Neodiprion lecontei: one gene and its partner. The protein of the gene in region 1 binds, or shares a complex with, the protein of each later gene. Links are inferred from orthologs where the notes say so. Each region holds a gene or a part of one and is shown on either strand. Other genes may lie near its edges.

Region 1 (12,900 bases):
TACATAATATCAAGTAACTGCTGACAGTAAGGGTGAAGTTCATGCAATGAACGATATGCTATCTTTTAAAACTTTGAAATCTCAATAAATTAATCAAGCATTGCATTTGTATGATAATTTAGAATCTTGAGATTGTAATTCTAAACCACATTTTTGATGCATTTGGTTATAGATTATAGATCAACAACAGTGTTTAATTTTTTTAAAGACATAAGAGTCGTCTTTGAGTTGTAACAGACTTAAGAAAATTTGATTGTACATATTATATATACTTAAACTCTATTTTTTCAATATCAACACGTAATTTGATGTCAAAATACTATTTTTCTGATGATCAATGAACCGTCATTTGCTTGGCTTGGTCGGCACACAGGAGCTTAAAGTTTTTTTATCAATGTTTCTCATGTAATAATGAACCTATTGATTTAGGTATTATTGACAAAGATGCAATTCTTCATATACAAGTGTTATTTTAATGTTTGACCTTAATTCATCATTCTCCACATATTCCTCATTTTAAAATTAAGTCAATAAGTGAAACGTAGCAGTCTCTTGCAAGGGTACGATGTTTGTTCGAAATATCTGGCAAGGAGAAAGTTGAATATTTTCAATACATGTATGAATTCATGTATATGTATATATATTTATTTTATTCCAAAAGTAATTTGAATATCATTGTGTGTGATCATTCATTTTACTTTTGAATAAATTCAAATCGATTTCTTCTCAAAACATTAATATCAACACATCATTTTACTTATATAGGATCTATTTTTCTGTGCTAATATTAAGTTAGCAAATAAATAAAGTTGCAGATGTAAGTTACAGAATAGTTGATTGTTATTCTAGGTTTGCACGCTGTAATTTCTGATAATTAACGTATGAATTGGGGTAAGACTAGTATGTGCATAACTGCTGAAATGCATTCAGGGGATTCATAGATAGAAAGAACCATAGATTACCCATTGATAACACGTTATAATAAATTTTCTAACTTGACTGAATAACTCGACGAGCTATAAGGAGTGTGCCTCAATTTTCTTCAATATCAAGAAACAATATTATATTCACCAAAATCGCGTACTACCGTTGTCACACAAGCAATTATGTTTCGTTACCTACTTTTATTGCTCCTGAAAATGATGAAATTCAATATTTTTTTGTAGACTTTTATGTAGGGAAATATTTAATATTTCCAATGCAAGAGATTTCTTTCCTTGTCCGTAACTTCGTGCAACAATTTTACTTAAATAACTTCAACTTTTTGCGATGTCGGATAATTCTAGATAATCTTAAAACATTAAAAATTATCATATATGTGTGTGTGCGTGTATTTACCTATGTATGTACTTATGTACGTACGTATGTATGTATGCATGTATATATGTATGTATGTACAGAAAAGTTGTTTTGTATGAAACTAAAGCGGTTTTAAAATAAAGTCACAACCTGCACACTTCTTCACTGGATGCACTTGCGAAATCGTCAAATGATCACTTATAGTCATAACTCTAATAATATGTTACGTACACTTTCAAATTATAATCGTTCCATAATAAATTAAAACACATTTTTTCTGTATGAATTATGTACCTTTAGTGTTTACATTCAAATAATAGTATGATAGACCAAAAGGTACTGGATGACAGGGAGTAATTAATAGTATAAAAATAAAAAAATTAATCTGTTCGCTGACTCAGCTTCTCGATAAATACCTAATTTGACTAAATCTGCACCGGCAGTCTTAGAAATTCTGGGATGCCACCAACAGTAACAAATTTACCAAATGATCTATCTGATATAATCTCTAAATTGCTGGAGAGTGCAACAATCTAACGTAAATATTCAACAATATAACAAATGAAATACGCTTAATGAATGATAATACTTATCATAAATCACGCATAACTTTAGATTACAACTCAGAAAATGATTTTCACAAAAATGAATGTGAATTAAAATTCTTCACATTAGCAAATTTTTGTTTTGCTCTATTACGTTAATGAGTTTTAGCTACAGAATGCTATACAAGTCTACCATCACATTATATTTCAGAATCGATCATACAAATTCATTGAATGTTTTAAATGCTCGTGACATTATTGCGTTAAATGAAAGAAATGACTTTTGAAAATATTTTGTAAGGTTTAAGAAATACTATATTAACAAAGCAAACAGTAGAATGACCAAAATCTATTCTAATATAAACTTTGCACAGTTGTTATTCTATTAAACCGTATAATTATACCTTTTGCCACAAACCATATTTTTGTAGATTTACTTTTGAAAAAGGGACTTGAAGTAATATACGTATAATTTTGATACATGCAGCTGTGTCGTACAGTGCACCAACGTGTATATTTTTTGGGTTTTTGAGGAATTGAAGGAAACATTTTCTATTGTTATTAAATTTAGAATAGGTATTACTGTAATTACACGTTAAAACCAAAGTCGACATGCAAGATAATTATCTCTACATGTCATATAACTCTTAATCACTTCAAAGCCAAATTAAGTAATTGAGATACATAATAATAAATTACCTATATCACGTGTAAAATGCGAAAACTAGAAATTGCAATAAACTGCTAATTATTAGTTCTCCTGTAATCCAGTACCATTTTCCCCAGCTAGTAATGTCAGAAAAAATTAAATTGAACTATACAATCTACCCATAATACAACGATTGATTATTAACAAGCAGTCCAATTGCATAGATTCTCTGACGTCAATTATTGTTTCATTATTTTTTTTGGGTCAAAAGTAATAACACAAACAATTCTTTCTTCTTTTTCAAATTCGACACTGCACTTATGCGCTACTCCACTGCGCATGAATAAAATAGTAAATGGGGAAAAAAATTACTTACACAAAATGATGTTGATGAAAAAAAGATAATGATCTTGAATGACAGCGAAATTCTCACGATACATGTTTATGTGGTGGAAATTGTGATTTGGCATGGATCGTGACAGCTGTCAAACTTCCATATGTTTCGAAGGTGGATGAGTTATAAACGGTTCACTCCACATGCGACGTAAATCCCCCTGTAATGTATAAAATTAGGAGCCTTCAATAAAAATATCAAACAGTTAATTGTAGTAGAAATGAAATCAACATTCTTCATTGAGTAAAGATTTGGTTACTACTTCCCATTTCTCATTGAGAGGGAAAGAAGAATACGTTCAAGCGTACCAAACATTAAAATTATTACCTTCAGATAAGCCATGGTAAGTAGTGGCAGTAGTGTGAAAGGTACGAGGTAGAGGAGTGCTGGTTGGGCTGCTTTGAAGACTTCGGAACTGACGGTTGCAGTGAGTAGTCCAAGAAAGTAGCCAATCAACGAACAATGGAAGTAACTAATGCGACTTAAATGGCGTGGCGGAGGAACACCTGTTTCACAACCGCCCGGCAATAACTGGCTTTTTTTATATGCATCATAACGTAGGACGAAACAGAGCAGTAAACCTGGCATAACCACGTCTCCAAGACCCAGCATTGAAAAATGCCCTGCTTGATGCATAGATGGGAATACTAGCTTGCCAGGTAGAGAGAGTTTAGGAGCTTCTCTGGCTACACCTCCTAAATGCAATCTACGTGCCACCAAACCGACTGGATTATCTGCAGGGCGTGTTGCGACCTGTGGAAGATAAATGTTGATGTAATGAATATTTGGATACAATAATAAATAAAGTATAATCATCTTTCGTAGAAATCTAAACATTATCTGCATGAAAGTTCGTGGTTTTGATCACCTGTAAGCCAAGTACCAACCTTAACCATGACGTTTGTGCTGAATATATAGGACGAGAAGAAGACCCAAAAAACATCATATATGAGGAGTCCCGTTAAAAGTAAAGTGGAAACTTTGAGACTTGGCAATCGGACAAATGCTATGAATGCGACGCACAGACCCATTCCCATGGCATCCATCAACAACCAATGACCAGTGAGTACCCAGATGCACACGATGCTCACGCTCAGGGAAAATGACAGTAGCTCCGCACCTGTGAATCTCCCACACATACCAAACGATATTTTGTTCCCATCAGAACAAGGTCGGATGATATATTGACACATTGGTAACAGCAAGAAAGCCAGCGCTACCGTAGCTATAACTGGAACAAAAACATGAAAATGTTTTCAATGCTTTGGCAGTGAAATTTCCAATTTTCGATTATACTGAGGTGGCAACATTCTCATCTGAGAAAAATTTAAGTGAGCTAATCAACGATTAATTTACTTCTAGTACACAAACAGCACAGTTTGATTATTATGTATAAACCATACGTATTGTATGTATGAGGGATTGGGAGGAAAAATGAAAATTTATCTTTTCTTTTCGAATAAACTATTGCATATTAAAGTAATACTCACTTGCAGTGCATATTGCAAAGAGCATTTGCATGCTGTCGAAGAAAAAGAACATGATCAGAAGGGAAACTGAAGCTCCGAGAGGCAAACATAGAGCGTGCATAGTTTCTAGAGTTTGAACGCCTCCGCCATTAGCACAATCGGAAGGTCCCGTGCTAACTATTCCTGACAGCAAATTAGTTCGTTCTTTCTCTTTCTCTCTTTCTCTGGCTTCTTGTTCCATGTTTAGTGATCGAAAACTGCCGTATACAATCAACAAAATTGATATCAAAAATGTTGAAACTCTGGAAGAATCCATGATGGAATAAGCCCTGTAAAAATGTGAAAAAGCTATTTGTATATCTGATGGCGTCTTATAACCATATTTTCTATTATGCATACCTATGTATTTATATCGTGCATTTAAATAAATATTTCACATCTGACTCATGACTGACAAAACTTTTTGTACTCACCACTGATAATCCACTTGATTTGTGGCCATCTTTGACGAGCCTATGGCCGTAGCTCTAAATGCTATACTGAAACACTGCGTGTCATTTAGATTTCCTTTTCCATCCGAGCTGAGTGGTTCCTTAGATCATCTACAGCCACAGCTGAAAACAAAGTTCAATAGGAATCAGCGGAAGATGAATGAAAACTGTATTTCATAAATATAAAATATAGTTAACAAAGAAAGTTTTTAATTCTACAGTTTGTTCAGTCATCGCCAATTTTACTCCAGCTAATTCAAAACGGACATAACAAAATATGCAATATAATTATTCAAGAATGTATCAAACTGAATTGAACACTAGATCTGTATATTAGGCCAAATCGATTTAAAAGTTGATATTGGGATTTATATTTTTAAAGTTTTCTGGCAATAAGACTAACTTTGTACTCGTGCAATGACCAAGGGGTAAAATAATGAACAATAATCATACTATTCATCTGTATTGAACTGCTGTATTTATGAGTAAGGACGATACTGAACTGAAACCCAATAGATTGTTCTTAATTATAATAACATTGAATTTACTTAATTTATTATGTAAATTGAACTCGCTATTTTTTTAACAATTGAAATTTTTTCAGGTGAAATGTTATTGTTAGATCTGTGTGCACAATTGGTGCAGTCATATAGCTATGTACACATTGAAAAGTTTATCAGCCGCAAACTTAAAAAGACGTGCCGTCCTGAAGTGTAAATAACAGGGTCGACTTGTCCTTTTGAACTTCATTGACACGAATTCATTCGAGAGAATCACAACAAAAGCAGGTGAGCTTGAACTAATATTGTAGATATGTACAACAGTCACAACATGTGAAACAATGTTGGTAAGCAGCATCAGTGGTAAGCGTAAAGAGAATAAAGATGGAGAAAAAAAAAATTATATTGACAGCAAACTATAGCACATTACCTAGAATTAAAGAATCTCAGCATAACAGCAGGTGCAGTACCGTGTAGTTCTTTAAAGCCATTCAAGACCTTCGTCTAGCACCTGCCACACAAATACACACCGTAAAGTTGCACCCAAAATGGAGTTCATTGTCCGTGATAATTCTACAATGAGATGACAAAAAAATCACAGCTGTAAGATAAATACTCGATAATAACGTGAACGGTGGATAATGAGCGAAAGGTGGCGAAAATGGAAGAATCTAGTCAGTTTATCTAGTCTATTTCTGCTCAGCAGTTCCGTGTTGATTGAGAGAATGCTCGGTAGTTCAACGATGCTAGTTCGTCTTGAAAACATTCGCATCGTAACTGATGCGAGAAAGGACATCCGTTGGGTATCAGTAATGAGACATTAACACTCGGAAACAATAGGCGGGACCTTATTTAATCATTTTTAGAACTTAAAAATTCTTGCAAAACAGTAAGAACACCATTTTGGTAAACATAAGGGTCACGTGACCCTTTGGCACCATGGAGTAAGGAACGAGGCTCTTGCTGATACCCTAGATCGGATTTCTCTTGTCGAAATTTTTCATCGAGCCAACTTCCCCTACCCTATGTCATACCGAGATTGGGTCTTTGAATAGAGATAAATAATTACACGCCAATCACCTCATCGATACTTATGAAAATATTTTCCGTCCACCATGCACCGAGAATAAAAACTTCCGAGGAATTGACACAACAATCTAACCCACCAAGCGTGAAATCGGGAATACGGGACCTCAGCAGTGAAGCTACCTACCGCTGACAGGCGCAGCTCGACTGTGCAATGCGTTTACGCGGTGTGCCTCGGCATGACATGCCTGTACACATGCAACCTTTGCACATGTTGCGTTTAGACATGATCGTATTCACGTTATTTTAATACGATATGATGGATTTTCACGCGTAGCCCGCTGATTATGCTGTGATAGTACTATTATGTGTAGTAATTTGTATGATATCAGTTGATATTATAGAAACATGCTGTCTGTGCAAAGATTGTGCGGTCTCAACTATATACAGCTAATTAGGAAATAGAAAGCCGCACAATTGTGTGCGAATTATGTTATATAAATATGTACGGCACTGGCAAAACAACGTTATAATTACGAGCCGACTGTTGTCTCAGATGAACGCAAAATTTGGGCATTATTTTATCCTTGGCCCATCACTTAATGCACAGTGAATTATTTTTTCATGCTACTCGACGTTAACTGCGTAGCACATTACCCAAAACCGACCGTGGTTTCGTGATAACTGATAACTTATTATCCCTCAAATAGAATCATAAAATTGAACTTTCCATTTTTCGAATGCACTACGAATTGCGCATGCATGCGTATTTCTTCTTTCGCCCCTCCAGCCGTTGTACCAACACTCACATGAAATTTGTTAACTTCACTCGCATTGGCACACAGATTTTTTTAAAAGGTAGCGGCCATGGCGACCGTGCAGATCTTTCGACAGACTGGTAATAATAATTTCATTAAAACCCGCAAACACAATTGTCATTGAATAAAATTTTACGTTCTGGCCAATGGCCTTTGTTTGAAGTCGAAATCCATTAACCAAGTTCTGTGTAAAGTGAAGATTATTGTGTAATAGGTTCATAACCTCAAAACCGTTATGAAATACTAATTTTACTATTATTTGGCAATATCTTCTAAAGAAATTTACATACGTCTTTTGAAAAATATCTGAATTTTAGGTAAGCAGCTTCTGGGTGCAGCTCGCTGTGCAGTTGCTACCAGTCCTTCGATTCGGAACAAGTACTACATTGTTACTCCACCAGAGGAGTCGATGGAATGGAATGATGTTACGGATCGCGCAGTGAACAATATGTTCCTCTTAGAAATCTTTCGAGGAATGGGAATCACTTTTTCTTATTTGCTAAGAGAACCAGCTACTATAAATTATCCTTTTGAAAAGGGACCTTTAAGCCCTAGATTCAGAGGAGAGCACGCGCTAAGAAGGTGACTATTTCAAGCTTTAATCACTTGTTATTAGTCAAGTTGTTATCATTACTAAAATTTTGTAAAGGTACCCATCAGGCGAAGAAAGATGTATCGCATGTAAACTATGTGAGGCTATTTGTCCAGCTCAGGCAATTACAATTGAGGCAGAGGAAAGGCCAGACGGTTCTAGACGCACAACTCGTTATGACATAGATATGACCAAGTGCATTTATTGCGGGTTCTGCCAGGAAGCTTGTCCTGTTGATGCCATCGTGGAGGTATGAAAGAATAGGCATATTTTTAAATCTTACCTCATTTGACTTTTGATTGCCTTAGTAACATTTCGTTTCGCTTAAGGTTATGAACACGATATAAATTGATACACTATCAAAAATCAGCCTAAGCATACTTTATGCTAACGAATGAGCGCACTAGTTTTCGTTGAAATGAACTATTGACATCTAAGATTCGAAATATTGATCACTCTCACAGAAAGTTAATACTTTTATACAAAAGATGGCATTTTGTAAAGGTATTAGACGAAGAGAAGGCATTAAATAAGGCATTATTCTGTTAAAAAAAAAAATTAAACACGTTCTGTTGCTAACTGGAACTTCATTTATAATTTAATGAAATTCAATTATTAATTCTTTCTTCAGGGACCTAACTTCGAGTTCTCCACTGAAACTCACGAAGAAATGTTATATAATAAAGAGAAGCTACTCAACAATGGAGATAAATGGGAATCTGAAATAGCTGCAAATATTCAAGCAGATCACCTTTATCGCTGAACCAAGTTCAACTACTTAGTCATCTTGTAAAATCCAAATAAACGTAAAATCTAGTAAAATAATACAAGCTGTTGTTGAATGTAAATACTACTTACTTATTTTAACTTGCAATACAGTAGGCAATGGCTACTCTTGTAATTAGGGAGTCACCAAATGCTCCTTGCCCCAAACTCTGTGAAGCAGTACGTCGATGATAACTTGAAAAATAAAAGTTTTAGACAGATTGTCTGTTTTGAGTTTTTTTTTCTTTTTTTTTAAATTACTATACCTTTTATTTTTAATCATATTCAATTGCATACGAATGTGTCCAGACATTTCACACTTACATTACACAGATTACTCGGGAAGCACGCCACTTATTTCTATAATAATAAATAATAATTACATATCAATAATAACAACAATATATATAAACAACAATAATGTGTTGATCAAATAATATTCTAATCACCTGATACAGTACACATTATTTAGTTGTAATTTTGGAACTAAATTTTATTCTAATGAAGAATGTCATTTATTAACAATCATTCTGCTGAACACGTTCTTAGTTTCTTGTTGACCGTTCTAATCGGTGCGACATAATTCATTGCTTCACCATAATGGTATTACCTAATTGATTCCCGTAGCTATTTAAATTAAATCACTTTTACGGAATTCTATAATTGTTTTTTTTCCGGTCGGATGTAGTTTTAAAAAATATCGAAAATGTATTTCAATAGGTACTGATGTTCGATTTTTTCTATCTGCAACACCATGTTAAAAATCAGGATAGTAAATTGTTCGCTAGTAGTTTGATAATAATGCCTAGCCTATGACCTATTTTATCGTTTGAGTAATACAAATGGCAGACAATATCCGCCTCTTATCTAACTATGTCTTTATAGATTTCTTTCAAATTGCATATTTCGCTTCCTTACTTTTAGATGTTACCATTTACGCCCAAGAACACGGTTGAAAATAACGATTCACCCATACAGTGTGAGTGTGTGTCCAATGATTTTTAAATCTTTTGTGATTTTATGAAAAAAATTTGAATTAGATACAGAGATGCCTATATTACAAATAACTATTATATATGAAAATCCCCGCGTTCATACAAAAAGTGTAGTGGTATCTTTATGACTTCTTACTTTTTGCAGATCAAGCACGCAAAATTTTCTTACTCACAATACCGTTGATTTTCTTTTATTTTCCCACCATGAAATCACTGCGTAATACTGCATCAAATGTAGGGATCTGGCTTTAGGATAAATAAAAATCCAATTTATGATTTGTCCTATGGTTCTGCGGTTCCATTACTATATTGACGCATTAAGATTACCGTGGACTGTTACAGTTCATAAATTAACTATGCTTATGTCTATAATGATCAAGGCCTTTATATGTCGATGTGGATTACTTTGACGCAACACAAATACTACGTGCGACGAGTGTATTGAAGTCTTTAAATAACATCATTTATCAAGTTCTTGAAAATCACAAGTCTTCCATTAAAAATGGAAAGTTTATATTGTTGTGATATTGGCTATTAGGTACAGTATAAGCATACGGACAATGTAAAAATGAAATACCAATTCATATAGTAGACTTTGTGTCGCTTCAGTAACTTCAGAAAGCATCCCATTGCGACATGTACTTAGTTTTTATGCCATGTTTAGCTGGACATGTCTATTGATGTACCAGGCTCAACTTATATGTACTACCTTAAACCCAAAAGTACTATTTATGAAAAAAAAAATCACCCTCTCAATGACATTTGTAATTAGGAAATAATAAATAATTTTGCCTTTCTGTATTACCAGAATAAGCCCCAACTAACAACATGATCTTCACTCATTGCTAGTAGCACACCAATTGAGCAAACCATTCTTTTTAGTATCCGCTCTAACATGTATACCTAGATTGGCTAACCTAGCTACATAGGTATCAAAATATGAAATGATATCTCACATGATATCTGTTAGTCATTGTTCATTTCTGCGCATAATAATCGACGAGTAGTTCTTTTCATTTTTGGAAAATACTCGAATCATCTATGCACGTCTTTGCCTATGGTGTAAGTTTCTATTCCATCAGTGCTACCTCCCACCGTTTAAGAGTTATTTTTCAGTCCGTGTTCAATTTTCTTCTAAAGATTAATCAGTTGACGACTTTGTACGTCGACGATGGTGGTTACGTGCCAAAGCATGTATAATTGTGACGAGAAAGTAGCACACCATCAACATGACGAACTTGTCAAAGAGCCAAGAAATTGTTGTAGATCCTTCCTAAAAGTGCAAATCATTGATTATACAGTATTTGCATAGCCGAAATAAATTGCATTCATTCGAAATCTAAGTAAAATAAGATACCAAATCAACATAATATTGATCATTATTTTGATACTTACTATAGAGGATTTGTCATGCAATTTTTGTTTCTGTTCAATAAGATACCGCTTCAAGGGTTCTTGAAACTTTGGGCCAATGACTGGAATAATTGCTAACAAAGCAATTACTTTATCTAAAAGTTCCTCGTTGAATGCCACAATTACTGCTAATTGCTGTATGTGCATTTTTACTACAGCTTTTCCGACTAGTGTTGCACCAAAAAAAGTCCAGAATGGAATAAGATAGTGTCCACAAGTTAATCCGGCAAGATCGAACAACGGATTTGGTATCTATAATGCAAATATTTAATTACAATCGCAAGTTTCACTTTTATCGTGAAATAAATGGATATTGGGTATTGTAAAATTACCGATGCACAAGCAAGTATTCCTAAGAAGCCAGCCTTTTGGACAAAATGTTTCATTGCTAGTTTGGCACGCATTCCCAATGAAACACATTTTTCTCCATTTTCCAGTGCCTCCAATGCTTCGAGTTCTCTCAACTCTTCTTGATCCTGACCTTGGTCGTGATCTTTATCGCTTTGCCGACTAAGTCGTGCAGCTCGTGCCATAAAATAAGGTGGCAATTCCCCCAAAGCTGTACCAGCACCCCACAGCATTGCTTCAATGCGTACTTTTCTCATGATATTCAAGACGCTGGCCGTCCATGCTGGATCTACTGTAGATGGACACACGATCTGGTCTGGATAAGGAGGCTCGGGAAAATTTAACCCTCCGCATTCATAAGCTGCCATCGTCACAGAGGCTATGTGAGGTCCCAAGTACAAGACAAAAGTGTGAAGCCCAGTTCCCAGGCCAACGCTCGATAATACGCCTAGTCCTACCCAGTAGAACCACCATACGACGGTGGCCTCCCAGGATTTAAACAGCTGTGGTAACCAGGTTAAATAAGTTCGGGTTGATCCACTTGTACGATAGATATATTTTTACATTGAAATCTATTATTTATTTAATATAAGTCTGTGGTGCTCTTTTTTTTGTTTCGAAACTACACACTAGAATTTTGCAGAAGAAAATATGAAACTTCAATGCTCTGTTCTCATTGTTTAATAAAGGTCTAGTAATATCTAAATATATTAAAAATTATCTAAAGTTTTGGTATTAATCATAGTTATATGGATATTCAAAAATATAATCTCACCTGTTGTTGTGGTCCAGAGACTCTGCTCGAAAGTAAAAATAATCCGGCGATCATTATTATACTCCATACTGTTTTTCTATATTTGAAAGTGTTTTTTGTTAAACTAACAACATTGATAAGTAATTCTTGTAGAAAAAAGTTCAATGTTTTTATTGGATGATGCCATAGCGTTAAGCTATCGGGATCTACATCCAAATCACTGTTTTGGTTGGAATGCAAATGCGATTGTGAAGTATGGGAGGATTTCTTTGCTGCCGGTGTACTTTGTCGAGTACCATTTGTAGCAGTTGAAGTATCCTTAGTACGTCTGACGGCTGATGTGTTCTCCGACATTGTAGCTCCCAACCGATTTATCTGATGGTTAAAAACAAGAATGATTCAACGAAAATTGTAAGTTGAACAAGAGAATTTTCCATTATTAGTAACATCTATGCTAGGTCAAAATTAACAAAGCTACTTTAGTGCGGGATTACAATACTGTGATTGCAATTGGAAATTTATGCTTGTCAGCACAAATAAAATTGCAAAATTTGCAGAATTACGACATGGCTGAAGTATTACTCAGCAGGATTTCTGACATAAATTTAGTTCAACTAATTTAAACACACGAACAATAAGACCTAAGGTTCCAACTATTTGGGTGAGGGCATAATAATTCAGTATTCAAACTCTCACTATCCTTGTCAATGATTTCAAGGCCTGTGTCACAGTCGTAATGTTGGCTTTGAAACTGGCTTCACTTACGCAACTAATTATGTTACCATTTCAAACATATGGCGTTGTAAAATATCGAAATTGTATCTACATGTATTTATAACGTG
Region 2 (13,153 bases), on another chromosome or scaffold:
TATTTCTTTATTTATTCCCTGCGCAAGATACACCGTATCATTTCTTTTAAACTTTCCCGGAATATTGTAGCAGCGCTGATACCCGGCATATCTATGTTCTACCCAACGTATCCAGGTATACGATGCAGGTTGCAATTAATGCTGACAGGATGGATGGACGTGTATAAATTGTTACCTGACCACAATTCCCTCGTGCTGCAGTGATTACACGGCATAGGTATAAAAGCGTATCGCACCTGTATATGCAATATACGCGAATTATTCTCGTCATTTATATCCGTACTGAAATTAATCTTCTACTGTTACTTGAAAGAAAAAGACGAGAGAGAAACACGAAACAAAGAAACTATAATCCCTCTCAACTAGAATAATTCCAAAGTTCGGGAATTGGAAGAAAGAAAACGGTGTTCCTTGCCCGATAGCGAATTATACAACTAACAAAAAAAAAAAAAAAATTCCGGTGAGCCGAACAGGCGGAAGAAGGAACGAGGATCAACTCCAAAAAAATTTGAGCATTGTGTCGTGCTGACGATAATTATAGCGAATATGGTAATTTTTATCTGTACAATTCGTATATATTCTTACCGTGATACGTTTAATTGGAAATGCATTTTTTACTGCCTTATCATGTGCAGATAACGACGTGATATCTATAGAATTTTTTATCACCCGAGTTATCGTTCTCTTTTCTTTCAACAATAAAAACGCCAATGCAACAACGCAAGCAACAATAATATGTTATTTTCTACTCACCGATGAGACGACTGAGGATATACAGAAGCTACAGTGGCAGATATGTACGATAGGACGACAATTAGCCGAACCTTTTTACAATATCTATATCCGAATGCTCTGTGTAATAGAACGCGTTGCAGTAAATAATGCGCGATATCGTTATCGTTTATCTACGTGAAAAAACTCTCTTTATATAAGACCGCGTTCAACCTGGGAACTGATTTGCAGAGGGTTAGTGTCGGTCAATTTATACGTTTCAAAAACAACAATGCTGTCCCTCGCTGTTACTGGATTGGCTAGCGCTGGTTAGGATTAAGGCGGGTAGGGGGAGAGGTTTCCCATGGCAACCAATCATTTCCAACATTTTAGTATACTTGGTTCTCCGTACCGCGCGGTGTACGCAGGCACACACAAACGTGCGCACGCAACCCATACGTAAGCATATTTTATATATATGTATGCAAGGTATGCCTGATATTATACCACTTAAAAGGTTTTATTTCTTGGAAATTTCTCCCACTGCGGTATCAATCAATTCGCATTGTAGCCGTTGATTTTACATTTGATAAATCTATAACAACTACCCTTTCACACTCTTTCACTGCACTGCGTATATACATTTCAAAGCTGCAAGGGGCAACTGCTGCAGAGGTGATTGTTGGTAACAACGGAAAAATGATTTTAAACTGTTCACACTGCACATGCTGTTACGCCAGTTATAATGCAATAATGAGGAAACAAAATTCTACACAAGTAACATTAAAAAATAGAATCTCTGTCCGTATACAGTACGAACGATTTTTCTCTTTTTTCCCCGGTCCTCGATTTTCATGAATTATCACGGTGAGATTTCAATTTTCGTAACATTAAAGTCATAACGGAAACAAGTATAACTGCGGTATTCGCATATGCGATTCTATCCCCATGGGTTTTACGGCAAGGAGAATTTGGCGTGTCAATCGTTTTACATACATTCAGAAGAAGAAGCGGTTAATTAAGAACGAAAGCGGAGAACGATCATCATTACAACGTAAAGAGGAAGTTCGTTTTGATCTTTTTAAAACTAGTTCAATTCATCCGATGACGAATACGCACATACTCCGAATCTGTGTATGCGCGTTACTTATATACACACATTCAATGCCTGCTGGTATATCTGTATCGATACAAGCTCAGGGTAACCACGAGAGACACGGTTACACTTTTCGCGGAAGTATCATCAGCTCTGCCGAATCCGTTCGAGTGCTGCCTGCGGATGGTAATTAAAGTTACAGCACATGATGCAAATTACCACCCTGCGCTGCGCAGCTTGCAAAAGAATAAAAGCTACAGTGAGCTTCTGTCTCACGGTTCTGTCGTCATCCCGTCTTTGGGTTTCAATCTTGGAATCTAGTAATTGTTATCTCGTTCTGAGAAGAACTTCGACTTATTACGTATCACTTATGTATATATACCAACGCTATGCGCAGTGTGGACACCTCGAAACGTGACGGATGCGAGGAGAAAGAAGCAAACAAGAAAAAACGTCGTCCAATATTTCGGAGACAAAAATCAATTGACACAAATTAAATTTTTTTCACAAAATACGTATAATGTATAACAATGTCGATATGTTATGTAAATAATTATACAGGTTGATGGTATGTATGTATAATATATATATCGGCATGTCTGGCTAACGAGACGCGTTTCCCCCGCAGCGAAAAGTGAACAATCTTTCAATTATCATTACCATTAGCTAATGATGCATATATTGAAAATCAAACGGCTATTATATTGCCTCATTTTATTTCCTCCTCCTCCTCGTCATCCTTCTCGTCATTATTTCCAACTGTGAACAAATTGTTCAACAACGAATCGTTTCATTTTTCCTTCCCTTATTTTTTATCCTGCAATAAATGCAGATCACTTTATCCTATTTTCAGGCACGAAAACTCAAGTAGGTATACTCTGATATTATACTTCAAAGTACAATGAGTGTTCTCCGCGGAATGCAGGAAACTGTCTCAACGATTCGTAGTTTCCTCTGACGTTATTACTTCTTGTCCGTGAATATCTAATAACTAATTGATTCCTAGAAGTATATGAAGAAGGAGAGAGGACGAAAAAGAGACAGAGACAGAGAGAGAGAGAGCCGTAAATTACGCATTAACACATACCGACCTCCTTCTGTCAAGGGAGAGACAAAATTCTCCCGTTTGTACATACGTAATATCTAATGATAATGGGAATAAAAACGAATACCCCGTTCCTATTATCCGCGTGTCTTCACTATAACTTAGGTGGGTGGTTTAACCGGTGCAAGGTGCGCACGTTCGTATATGTTTATGTGTATATGTAGTACATATGTACACCAGAGTGTACGGTGATTTTTTTTTTAAAAAGAATTAGTGATTCATCGCCGTACATGCGGTGTGTGGTATACATACATATATAAAACGAGAACGATTTCAATGCGTGGAAAACAGGTTTCGTGGGAACCGAGCGAGATTTAATAACATACGAATATGCACTCACAGGTGTTACGAGTGCCCATGTATTTGTATGTACATACGCGTCATAAATGGGATACATATTATATGCACAAAAATTGAAGAATCGGTAGCTAATTTGTGACGTAACGATGCATCGAAATGTTGCAAATAGGAATATATTGTGAACGCGCAACAACCTACATGTATGCAATGCGAATTCCTGCACGAACTACAGAGTCGAAGGAAGACGAAGTCACAGACGAAGAGACGAAGATGACGAATGAAAAGAACGAGGAAGAAACTTTAAAAGAGGAGAAGAAAAACGGAGGGCAAAATCTTTCTGTAGGTACGATAAATTCAGCTTCTCCCATGCTAATTCCAAGGTTAAACAGCAGTCAGAACTTAATCTCCATATTTATATTCTTGGCTGTGAGAAAAAGACGACAGAGTGGCGAAAAGGTGAGGAGGAAGAATCGTGAGTGAAATTAAAAAAAAAAAAAAATAAAAAAAGCCAGGGAAGAAAAAAATGCCCAACATTGCTGTATACATACAAATAGATAAACAAAAAACCGCAAACACGGGAGAAAAAAACAAGAAAAGTACACCCGTAACACCATACTCGAAGTTCTCGAAAGATGTTGCGTTCGCAAAATCAGTTGCAAAAAAAAAAAAATTATAAAAAATGATTGAAAAACTAGAAAATTTGGAATGAATTTTCCTTTTATACGAAAACATGTTTCCAGTTTACGAGGTCTCTTTACCAAATAAAATATGCCTGTCACATATAATATGGAAAATAGATAAAGGGACAGATGAACTTTGTGTGGATAAAATGTTACCCTAACGAAGCAGGTTTGCAGTTTTTAAATGAAAAATTTCTCAAAAGACGATCGCCTTTGAAATCAACTTGGGTAAAGCATCCCTTTTTCCTCGTTCTGATGATTTATGTCTAATTACGGCTAATTGTACAACAGCCAGAGCCTTGAAATAGAGCCGAGGGTGATAATTAATAGGAAGAAAATAAGGATGAGTGGCCACGAAGAAAGGAGAAGGGCGTCACGCTGCTCCTGATATTACTATTAATAAAAGATATATTGAGCAAAATTGATCGTTAATAAATGGACAAACACGAATACCGCTTACGACCGACGGGTAGATGGTTAAAGGCGGATAGTGGAAAAGAGACGAAGAAGGCGTCAACGCACGTATTAGACAGTACAATTAATTGGACGATATAATTGTTCTGCGGTACATGATGTCGCGGGTCAATTGCAAACAGCGGAGAGGGCGCGTATGATAGAATTTCGCAATCTAAATTTTCGGTTCGCTGGGCTTTCGTCGGCAGCGAATTTGTAACTAAACTATTCTTGCCGCGATTCTGTTCGGCGTGTAATAACGTCTGTAAAACGACCAGCGCTGGAAACCATTTTAGAGCCAAAATAGAATTCGAATCGAGAGGCAAACAGGGGCCATGTTGATTTTATACCATAATTCAAATTCATTTATCAAATGGTCGAGTATTTTCTTTTCGACTTTTCGGGTTGGTTTTGGAAACTGACCAGTCACACGTGTTTGACTCGTTCACATCTCAGAACAAATCGTGGTTCCAAGATTGTGCTTTGAAATTCGAGAATTGCATTTGTCTGCGAGAATAATACTCTTCAACTCATATTTACACTGTTTGCCCGACGATGTGGACGCGGTGCGTTCTTAAATTAGAATTACATAGCTGCGTCAGTGTTTAACTTACGCGCGAGCCCAACCCTGTACAAAGTCATTCGTTTCGACTGATTGCTAATTAAGGCACATCACTGGGGTTTCTCGCTGCGCGATCGATAATTCATTAATTTTTACATCAGAATCAGATAAACACGTTTATCGTAACACGTGCCGTAAATATATACATTTATAAAGTATGAATGTAAAAAGAAATTAATGTACCTCCATATACGTGTACGTATATGTATAAAGTGAGGATGAGAAAGTGGCTCATCGGTTGCGAGAGTTCGCGCCAGTTTTCGCCGGACATCACCGGATCCTGCCTGATCACCTTCAGCTTTCAATATGAATGCCGATTCACGTGCATTATGCTTATGCTGTGTGCAATACGTAGATTAAAATTTGTCCTTGCCTCGTCGCCCCATTTCCGATCAATTTTTACTCTTTTTTTTTCTGCAGCACCCATTCTCCTCTTCTCTACTACTACTATCTTCTTCGCATCTCGCGCGTTTTATGTTACAGAACAACGCCAGTTAACTCCTTATTTCTTCACATCGTTTTTTTCTTCTTCACTGTAGTCTTCTTCTTCTTCTTCTTCCACTTCCCTCACCGCCAAATCAGCTGTATGTGAAAGTCAAGGACTCTACGTAATAAGTGCAAAATAAAATCGGCAGCTACGCACGCAATTCATATCTTGAAATACAGCGCATGGTCGTAATTTCTTAATCCCACACCGCGTTATTTTCACTACAATAATAATGACAATAATAATAGAAATAACGTCAATACCGATAATTTGTGTCAATAATATTACTTATTATAACAACAAGTATTATTATTGTTTTCGTTATCAGCAAAAAATAGAGCAGGATCAGATTTGAAAATGCACTGAATTTGGAATAAAATTTTTCTTCTTTACCTTTGTGATATATATATATATATATATATATATATATATATATTAAATGATAAGAAATAAAAATTTGGGAAGATATCAATCATTCAAAGAACACCATGAGGATAGTCTGGTTCATATTTCATATATTGACACAATTTGTAAATATATTGAAGTTAATAGAGATGCGATTTATTTGCAACAATTGTACACACAGCGTACTATAATATATGTTACATATACGAAATAATTTAGCTAAGGGTTTCATTTCTTTTGCTTGTCTCTACGACTACGTTTTTCACGATTGTAATGCTTGTAAATTTATTTTCTACTTTCATCATACTCTAGATTTGGCAATAATCTTACTTGGGTTTCCACGCTTCAATTTTAGGACGAGTCGTACTATAAGGCATGTAAGCATCTCTCGTTCCCGTCATATTTTCTGTATGATCAAGCATCCACTTGTAGTTGGGACGAGATGGATCCTTGTATGGAGGTAGATCAGTCTTGTAATGCAACCAGCCGAACCATTCGGGAGGCACTTGAGATGCGTTGTAGTCTAGACCAACATGATCGGCATATTCAACCCAACGATTGCGTCCTAAAATGGCCCAACAAACGAGTTTTATCAATTACGAAGTTATAGAAAAAGAGAAGCAAACAGTTGGAAATGTTTGTAGTTTCATATTCGTAACAGAATTGTCACAAGGTATTAATTTACACAAGGTCAATATTATGGTCTGGCTCAAGGGCAATCTGGGGCAAAAGTAGGCGGTTATGTAATAAAAAATAAAACAGCCAAGTGAATTTGAAAAGTAGACGACATTGAAGCATTCTTTACTTCTTATTGCTTTCTTTCTCTTCTCCCTTTAACCGGTAAGTGGGTAGAAGAAAAAAGAACAAAGAAAAGAAAAGAAGAGAAGAGAAAAAGAAATTGCTTAAACCCAAGTCTTACAGCTCTTGTTTCAGCTAAGGATTGCGACTAAACAAAGCGTGTGCTTACACCTTTTGTATGCTGGGAATGTTGGATGTTGTAAACATTATTTGAAAATACAACGATATTTGGCTCCAGCTACAGTTAGCATCTTGTGAATCATGTGATGTATTTACTGCGCAGTAATAGCAGGTATAAATGTAAATATAAAACCGGTGATAGAAATTGGGAAAGAAGTAATTGAGAAATCTAAACTTCACCTAAGAACAAGATCGACAGAATAGGGTATAAGATGATGTTTCAGCATTAATTTAACAATATAATAATTACCATAAAAGTGCATGTTATTTTCGAAGTAGCGATTCCCGTATTTGTCCTCGCCAATCAAAGTTCCTGATTTCAATTCATCCCGTCTACAGAAAATAATGATAAAACAAGCGTTGATGGTAATACGTAACTCGAAGAGGCTTATCTTCATATTTTGATAGCATAAATGAACGTTAGTATAGGTTAGGTCGAAACAATATTCGACCAATAGTTAAAAAACGCTGTACGATACAAACCTGTACAGAGCTCGTAATGATCCTCGTATGCCACCATTATCTCTTACAATCTGGAAAAATCTCACGACTTTATCAACTCCAAAAAATTTCGCCATCTTTTTTAAATCAACAACGTTGACTGTCTGCTGCAGCTAGACATGTAAATGTTAACAAATTATGTAAATACAAAATGGCTGCGAGAAATTCGATACGCGGTTTAGAACCATAAGCTAAGCCATAGCTAAGCAATAAAGATGAATGACCAAATGATAGCGAATCTAAAATTTATAGCGATTCTTTAATTTATGTTTGGAATACGATTAAATAGTCTTCAATTCGTCAACATTGAATTTTTGGGATCTTATTGAAGATTCGCTAGTCCCAGAAGTTTGTCCAGTCCTTAGAGCATATACTATTGGAGGTAGCCTCACGGTTACAGAAAGTGTGACAGAGGCATGAGATGGAGTAGTTGTGCCATGTCCGCCATGTACAGCCTGTCTCTCTCGCTCTACAACCTGGTTCGCCGATACCTCTTTTCTCAGCCAATAAAATGCAAAGCGAGAGAGACAGAATATCCAGGGTAACCCGGGGAGCCCGGGGACATACCTATATCTCGCTGTTTCATCACTATGGCCACAGTTTTACGAGGTTACCGACAGCCCCCTGACAATCCAATTTTTTCGAGTCTATTTTGATCTCCCGCGCCACTGCGTGGCGCTAGTAGTCCTGCTCACAATGTGCGGGTCTACGTACGACCCGTTTGAATCTTGTTATTCCAAATTTATTATATAGAAATTACACATACTTATATCATAGCTAGAAAATGAAGTAGGAATTGATACAATAGAACCCTGACTTTATTATTATGTCCGTACATTTAATGGCTTTCCTCGACAATTCCAGGGTTTCGGGATCACACGGCACAGTAAAACAATGTAATTTTTCCGTGTTCGTTTGGTAGACAGAGGTACCGCCCGGTACAACAGGCGAAGGCATTGTAAACGTACGAATAAAAGCAATAAAAATCAGAAAGAACTATAGTTTATATCGGTTATATGCGTTATGTCGAGGTTAGAATCAACGTAAACAATGCTGACAGCAGATTTGCGGGCGGTGATTGTCGCCGGGGGGTGAAGTGGGGGTAGGGGTAGAGCAAGTTACTATCAGCGCTACGTAGCGGCGGGGGACGTTGAGGCGGACTGCCTGTTATATTGAAATCTAGTCGAGTGCCGGGGGGCTAGTTGCCGACATAGGTAGTCTGCAGTAGTCTATGCTCTAAGTACCGTTTCGAGCCAACTTCATACATACGCTTACATTCAGTTTGATTCAGTTACTCAGTGAATCTCGGTGAAGTGAGAGAAGCTTTGATAATTATTATCGAGTTGATTGCGATTGTACCATAATACTGTATTTTTCATAACTGTAACACAGTTGTTGGATAATATTCTTTTTCTGCTGTTAAGGTGAGTAAAATTTTAGAAAAACTTTTCTGGCGATCAACAGTAATTATTCCATACAATTGAAGAAATCATACTTTTGTCTCCATTTTTATACCTCATTCATGAGGTGCTGAGTGTGTATTTACCCACTAAACAAATCTCGGTAGTCCCCTAATTAAGGCTAAGAATCTTTGCCACTGTTGAAAACCGTCCAATTATCAGTGAGAATTTCTTTTCTTCACATTTAACCAGTCAAGTAACCTCACATATGGCTCAAACAGTTTCTAAATTATCTGTTGAAATGTTTACTCAATGCTTCAACTTCAGTACCACTCCAATTTCTTTGCACTATTGAGTATCACAAGCTGCAACCATATTTAAAGCTACTGCAATTATTACTCATGTATTTCAGGAGCGAAATTTCCACACCAAGAAATAAAGAAAATGTCAGATTCAGAGGCTAGTAATTTTTCGGACAATGACAGTGACGCGGGAGGCCGTGGTGGTGGTGGAAGTGAAAGCGAGCCTGAAGACAACCGTTCGGTAAAATCTGGAGTCGGTAGCGACGCAGGTAGTGGACACCGTTCTCGTAGCGTATCGAGAAGTAGGAGCAGAAGCAGATCAAGATCACAATCCAGAAGTCATTCAAGATCGAGATCACGCTCTCGTTCCGGTTCTGGGTTAGTAAATACTAAATTTGTGTTAAGCACCAAGTCATGCACAATAATCTTGTTCTTTTACAAAGGGACTTTATGCCAATGATATTTTTGTAAGTTTTGACACCTATGGTACTGAAAAGTGAGGTCTGAAATAACAATACCCCAAAGCCATTCGACCCCGCCGCATATAGTTTTCGAAAAAATCGATTTTGAATTACTACGAGCGTGTTATGTACATTAAACGGTAAGCATCCGACAGCAAGGTCCGTGGTACACCGGGTAGCGTACCAGGTGAGTAATCGTTGAATTGCTGATAAGTTTTTGCTCACATCACTTACTTGTCGATTTGATCAAATTTATGCTCATTGACAGATATTTCGTGATTTTCAATGACAAAGGCGGATCTTGCTTTCGCTTACCTCTCGTTTCAAAAGTTGGGCTTACTGTTGAAAATAGTAATTCCTAACCTCTAGAGGATCGGAAAACCGATATATCTGCTGACCCTGTGATATAAATTTTGTATATAGTTCATACATGATATCAGACACTAATTTGGGTACTTTTCAAGGGCTATTTTAACTCACAAATCCCGGGCGTCTAAAGGTTAACCAACAATATTTGTGATAAATTAAATTTTCATAAAAAATCTGCCAGCCTTCCTGAAATTCTACAGAAATGTTCTGTGCAGTTGCAGCTGTATCTCGCAAGTAGGTAATACTAGGAAATGGCTCGTTGGCCCATTGTAGGCCCACACGCTAGTATAACGTACCTGCTGAAATTCTTAATATTTGTCATAAATTAAATTTTCATACAAAACCTGCCAGCCTTCCTGAAATTCTGCAGAAATTCTCCCACAAGCCCATAATGGGCCGAACAGCGATATCCTAGAATTACCTACCTGCGGAACTCAGCTGCAATTGCACAGAAGATTTCTGCAGAATTTCAGGAAGGCTAGCAAGTTTTGTATAAAAATTCAATTTATCACAAACATTGTTGGTTAAGAATTACTATTTTCAATGGTAAGCCCGACTTTTAAAGCGAGAGGTAAGCAAAAGCAAGATCTGTCTCTGTCATTGAAAATCATGAAATGTCCGTTGATTAACATAAATTTGATCAAATCCGCACCTAAATAATGTGAGCCGACATATAAAAGAAAAAGTAAATGAATATAAAAAAGTTACTCATGGTAGTTATCGTACCAGCGATCCAGCGATTACTGGCCTAGTATGCTACCCGGTGTGCCATGGACCTTGCTGCCGGGTACTTACCATTTATTGTACATAACACGTTTGTAGTATTTCAAAATCGATTTTCTAGAAAACTGTAGGCCGTGTCGAACAGCTTTGGGTAATTGTTATTCGAGTTCTCACCTTTCAGTACCATAACTATGAAAAATTACAAAAATGTCATTGGTGTAGTGTCGCCTTGTTAAGCCGAAATTTAATTGTGAATAATATTTTTTCTTTCCATGCAAAAGTTCGGATGCTGGAGGTAGCCATCGAGCGGATGAGGCTGAAGAAGCTCATTCTGGTGATGATGAAGAAGTTGAGGCTGAGGAAGAACCAGAAGGTGAGTCTTTAACACAGTTGTGACTGATTTGATAAGGCAGATGTGATTATCGAGATCTCATGTACTTTTTTCAGGGGAAGATTTGGATGGTAGCAGTGATTATGACGAGGAGGAGTACGAGGATGACGACAGACCAAGCCGGAAAAAGAAGAAGAAAGACAAGTCAGTTACATGATCCGATCCATACATTAATTGATGATTTTTTAACTGATAATCCTTAAAGAAATACGGCATGTATTCCGTTTACCTGCTATTCTTACAGATTTGGTGGTTTTATTATCGACGAGGCTGAAGTGGATGACGAAGTTGAAGATGACGACGAATGGGAGGATGGAGCGCAGGAGATAGGAATTGTTGGAAACGAAGTGGACGAATTGGGGCCGACTGCACCTGAAATTGAGGGAAGACGTCGAGGCACAAATCTGTGGGAGTGAGTAAAAGGATAAGGATATAAAAATCAAGAAATACACGGAACAGTTTGCCAAATAACCACATCTATACCTGTGCAATAATCAGTGTTGACCAGTGTCTAACAATAGCTATCCCGCGAATTTAGTTCACAGAAAGAAGATGAAATTGAAGAGTACCTCAGAAAGAAATATGCCGACGAATCTGTCGTTTCGCGTCACTTTGGAGATGGGGGTGAAGAAATGAGCGATGAAATTACCCAGCAAACGCTTTTGCCTGGTGTGAAGGACCCCAATCTCTGGATGGTCAAGTGCCGTATCGGTGAAGAAAAAGCCACCGTGCTCTTACTCATGCGAAAATTCATAACATATCAGTTTTCAGGTACGATGGTTCAATTTCCCAATTGCAATATTTTATTTTTCCATTTGCTAAGCGCTCTTTCCTATTTAATTCGCAGGAGAACCATTGCAAATAAAGTCCGTTGTTGCGCCCGAGGGCGTTAAAGGTTATATTTACATCGAGGCATACAAACAGCCTCATGTAAAGGCCGTTATAGAAAACGTCGGTAATTTGAGAATGGGTATTTGGAAACAACAAATGGTTCCGATCAAGGAGATGACGGATGTACTGCGTGTCGTCAAGGAGCAAACTGGCTTGAAGGCAAAGCAATGGGTTCGTTTAAAGAGAGGAATATACAAGGATGACATAGCGCAAGTGGACTATGTGGATTTGGCGCAAAATCAAGTACATTTAAAACTGCTACCGAGAATAGACTACACGAGACCTCGAGGTGCCCTAAGAACTGCACAAAGTGAATCCGAGGCACTGAAACGCAAAAAGAAAAGACGACCACCGGCAAAACCTTTCGATCCAGAAGCGATCCGCGCAATCGGTGGAGAGGTGACCAGCGACGGAGACTTTTTAATATTTGAAGGGAACAGATACAGTCGAAAAGGGTTTGTTATTTTAATCACTTAAGCTCCGAGTTTCTAACACCAAAAAATTAGGTCTAACTGAACTTTTACCGTTTAGATTTCTCTACAAAAATTTCACGACAAGTGCCATTATCGCCGAAGGTGTTAAACCGACGCTCTCTGAACTGGAGAGATTTGAAGAAGCTCCCGAGGGTATAGACATAGAACTAAGCGGCACTCCGACTACAGGAGTTTCTGCCGGTAAAGAGGATCAGGCAGTTACTCATTCATTCAGTAATGGCGACAATGTAGAAGTTTGCGAGGGAGAATTGATGAATTTACAAGGAAAAATTGTATCAATTGATGGTAACATGATAATGGTCATGCCAAAGCACGAGGAACTCAAAGAAGCCTTAGAATTCCAGGCAAATGAGTTAAGAAAATACTTTAGAATGGGAGATCATGCAAAGGTAATCTTTTTACAAATCTTGGATTCCGTATTTGTATTATCTTTTATTCAAACGGTTCCAAATTGTCAATTTTTCAAATTTGCAGGTAGTAGCTGGTAGATACGAAGGAGACACGGGGCTGATTGTACGTGTCGAACAAAATAGGGTTGTTCTTTTTTCCGATTTATCAATGCACGAGCTAGAGGTACTCCCACGAGATCTACAACTTTGTTCTGACATGGCAACCGGCGTTGACAGTCTGGGTCAATTTCAATGGGGTGATTTAGTACAGCTCGATGTTCAGACCGTCGGTGTAATCGTTCGATTGGAGCGCGAGAATTTTCACGTATTATCGATGAACGGAAAAGTAGTCGAGGCGAGACCTCAAGGTCTTACAAAGCGTCGTGAAAACAGAA

Evidence for each region.
Region 2: the proteins of NADH-ubiquinone oxidoreductase subunit 8 (region 1) and probable NADH dehydrogenase [ubiquinone] 1 alpha subcomplex subunit 12 are in contact, whole or in part, in a cryo-EM structure (PDB 8ESZ), measured with the Drosophila melanogaster proteins. The link is inferred for Neodiprion lecontei from reciprocal best matches to the Drosophila melanogaster genes ND-23 and ND-B17.2. Residues at the interface, in NP_524719.1 of Drosophila melanogaster: Glu85, Pro86, Ala87, Thr88, Ile89, Asn90, Pro92, Phe93, Glu94, Lys95, Gly96, Pro97, Leu98, Ser99, Pro100, Phe102, Arg110, Tyr111, Pro112, Ser113, Gly114, Glu136, Thr148, Arg149, Pro176, Asn177, Phe178, Glu179, Phe180, Ser181; in NP_001137770.1 of Drosophila melanogaster: Arg32, Asn33, Asp34, Asp35, Lys37, Phe58, Tyr59, Gly60, Arg61, Arg63, Trp64, Ile65, Phe67, Tyr75, Asp76, Gly77, Ser78, Ile80, Pro81, Ala82, Glu83, Tyr85, Gly86, Met88, His89, Tyr90, Lys91, Thr92, Cys101, Arg102.

Annotation. Positions count from the first base shown.
Region 1 is NC_060262.1:34,782,615-34,795,514, reverse strand, and holds NADH-ubiquinone oxidoreductase subunit 8, read left to right. Parts: upstream 1-7,117; 5' UTR 7,118-7,240; coding exon 7,241-7,271; intron 7,272-7,508; coding exon 7,509-7,773; intron 7,774-7,840; coding exon 7,841-8,033; intron 8,034-8,414; coding exon 8,415-8,546; 3' UTR 8,547-8,770; downstream 8,771-12,900. Other genes in the region: signal peptide peptidase-like 3, read right to left, coding at 2,979-3,047, 3,215-3,640, 3,775-4,118, 4,378-4,685, 4,830-4,858; vacuole membrane protein 1, read right to left, coding at 10,685-10,816, 10,939-11,208, 11,289-11,807, 12,080-12,433. UniProt on the Drosophila melanogaster protein: Core subunit of the mitochondrial membrane respiratory chain NADH dehydrogenase (Complex I) that is believed to belong to the minimal assembly required for catalysis. Complex I functions in the transfer of electrons from NADH to the respiratory chain.
Region 2 is NC_060263.1:15,072,166-15,085,318, forward strand, and holds probable NADH dehydrogenase [ubiquinone] 1 alpha subcomplex subunit 12, read right to left. Parts: upstream 7,677-13,153; 5' UTR 7,416-7,676; coding exon 7,321-7,415; intron 7,171-7,320; coding exon 7,088-7,170; intron 6,425-7,087; coding exon 6,186-6,424; 3' UTR 5,994-6,185; downstream 1-5,993. Other genes in the region: transcription elongation factor SPT5, read left to right, coding at 9,183-9,418, 10,875-10,966, 11,041-11,128, 11,229-11,396, 11,523-11,755, 11,832-12,330, 12,407-12,758, 12,844-13,153.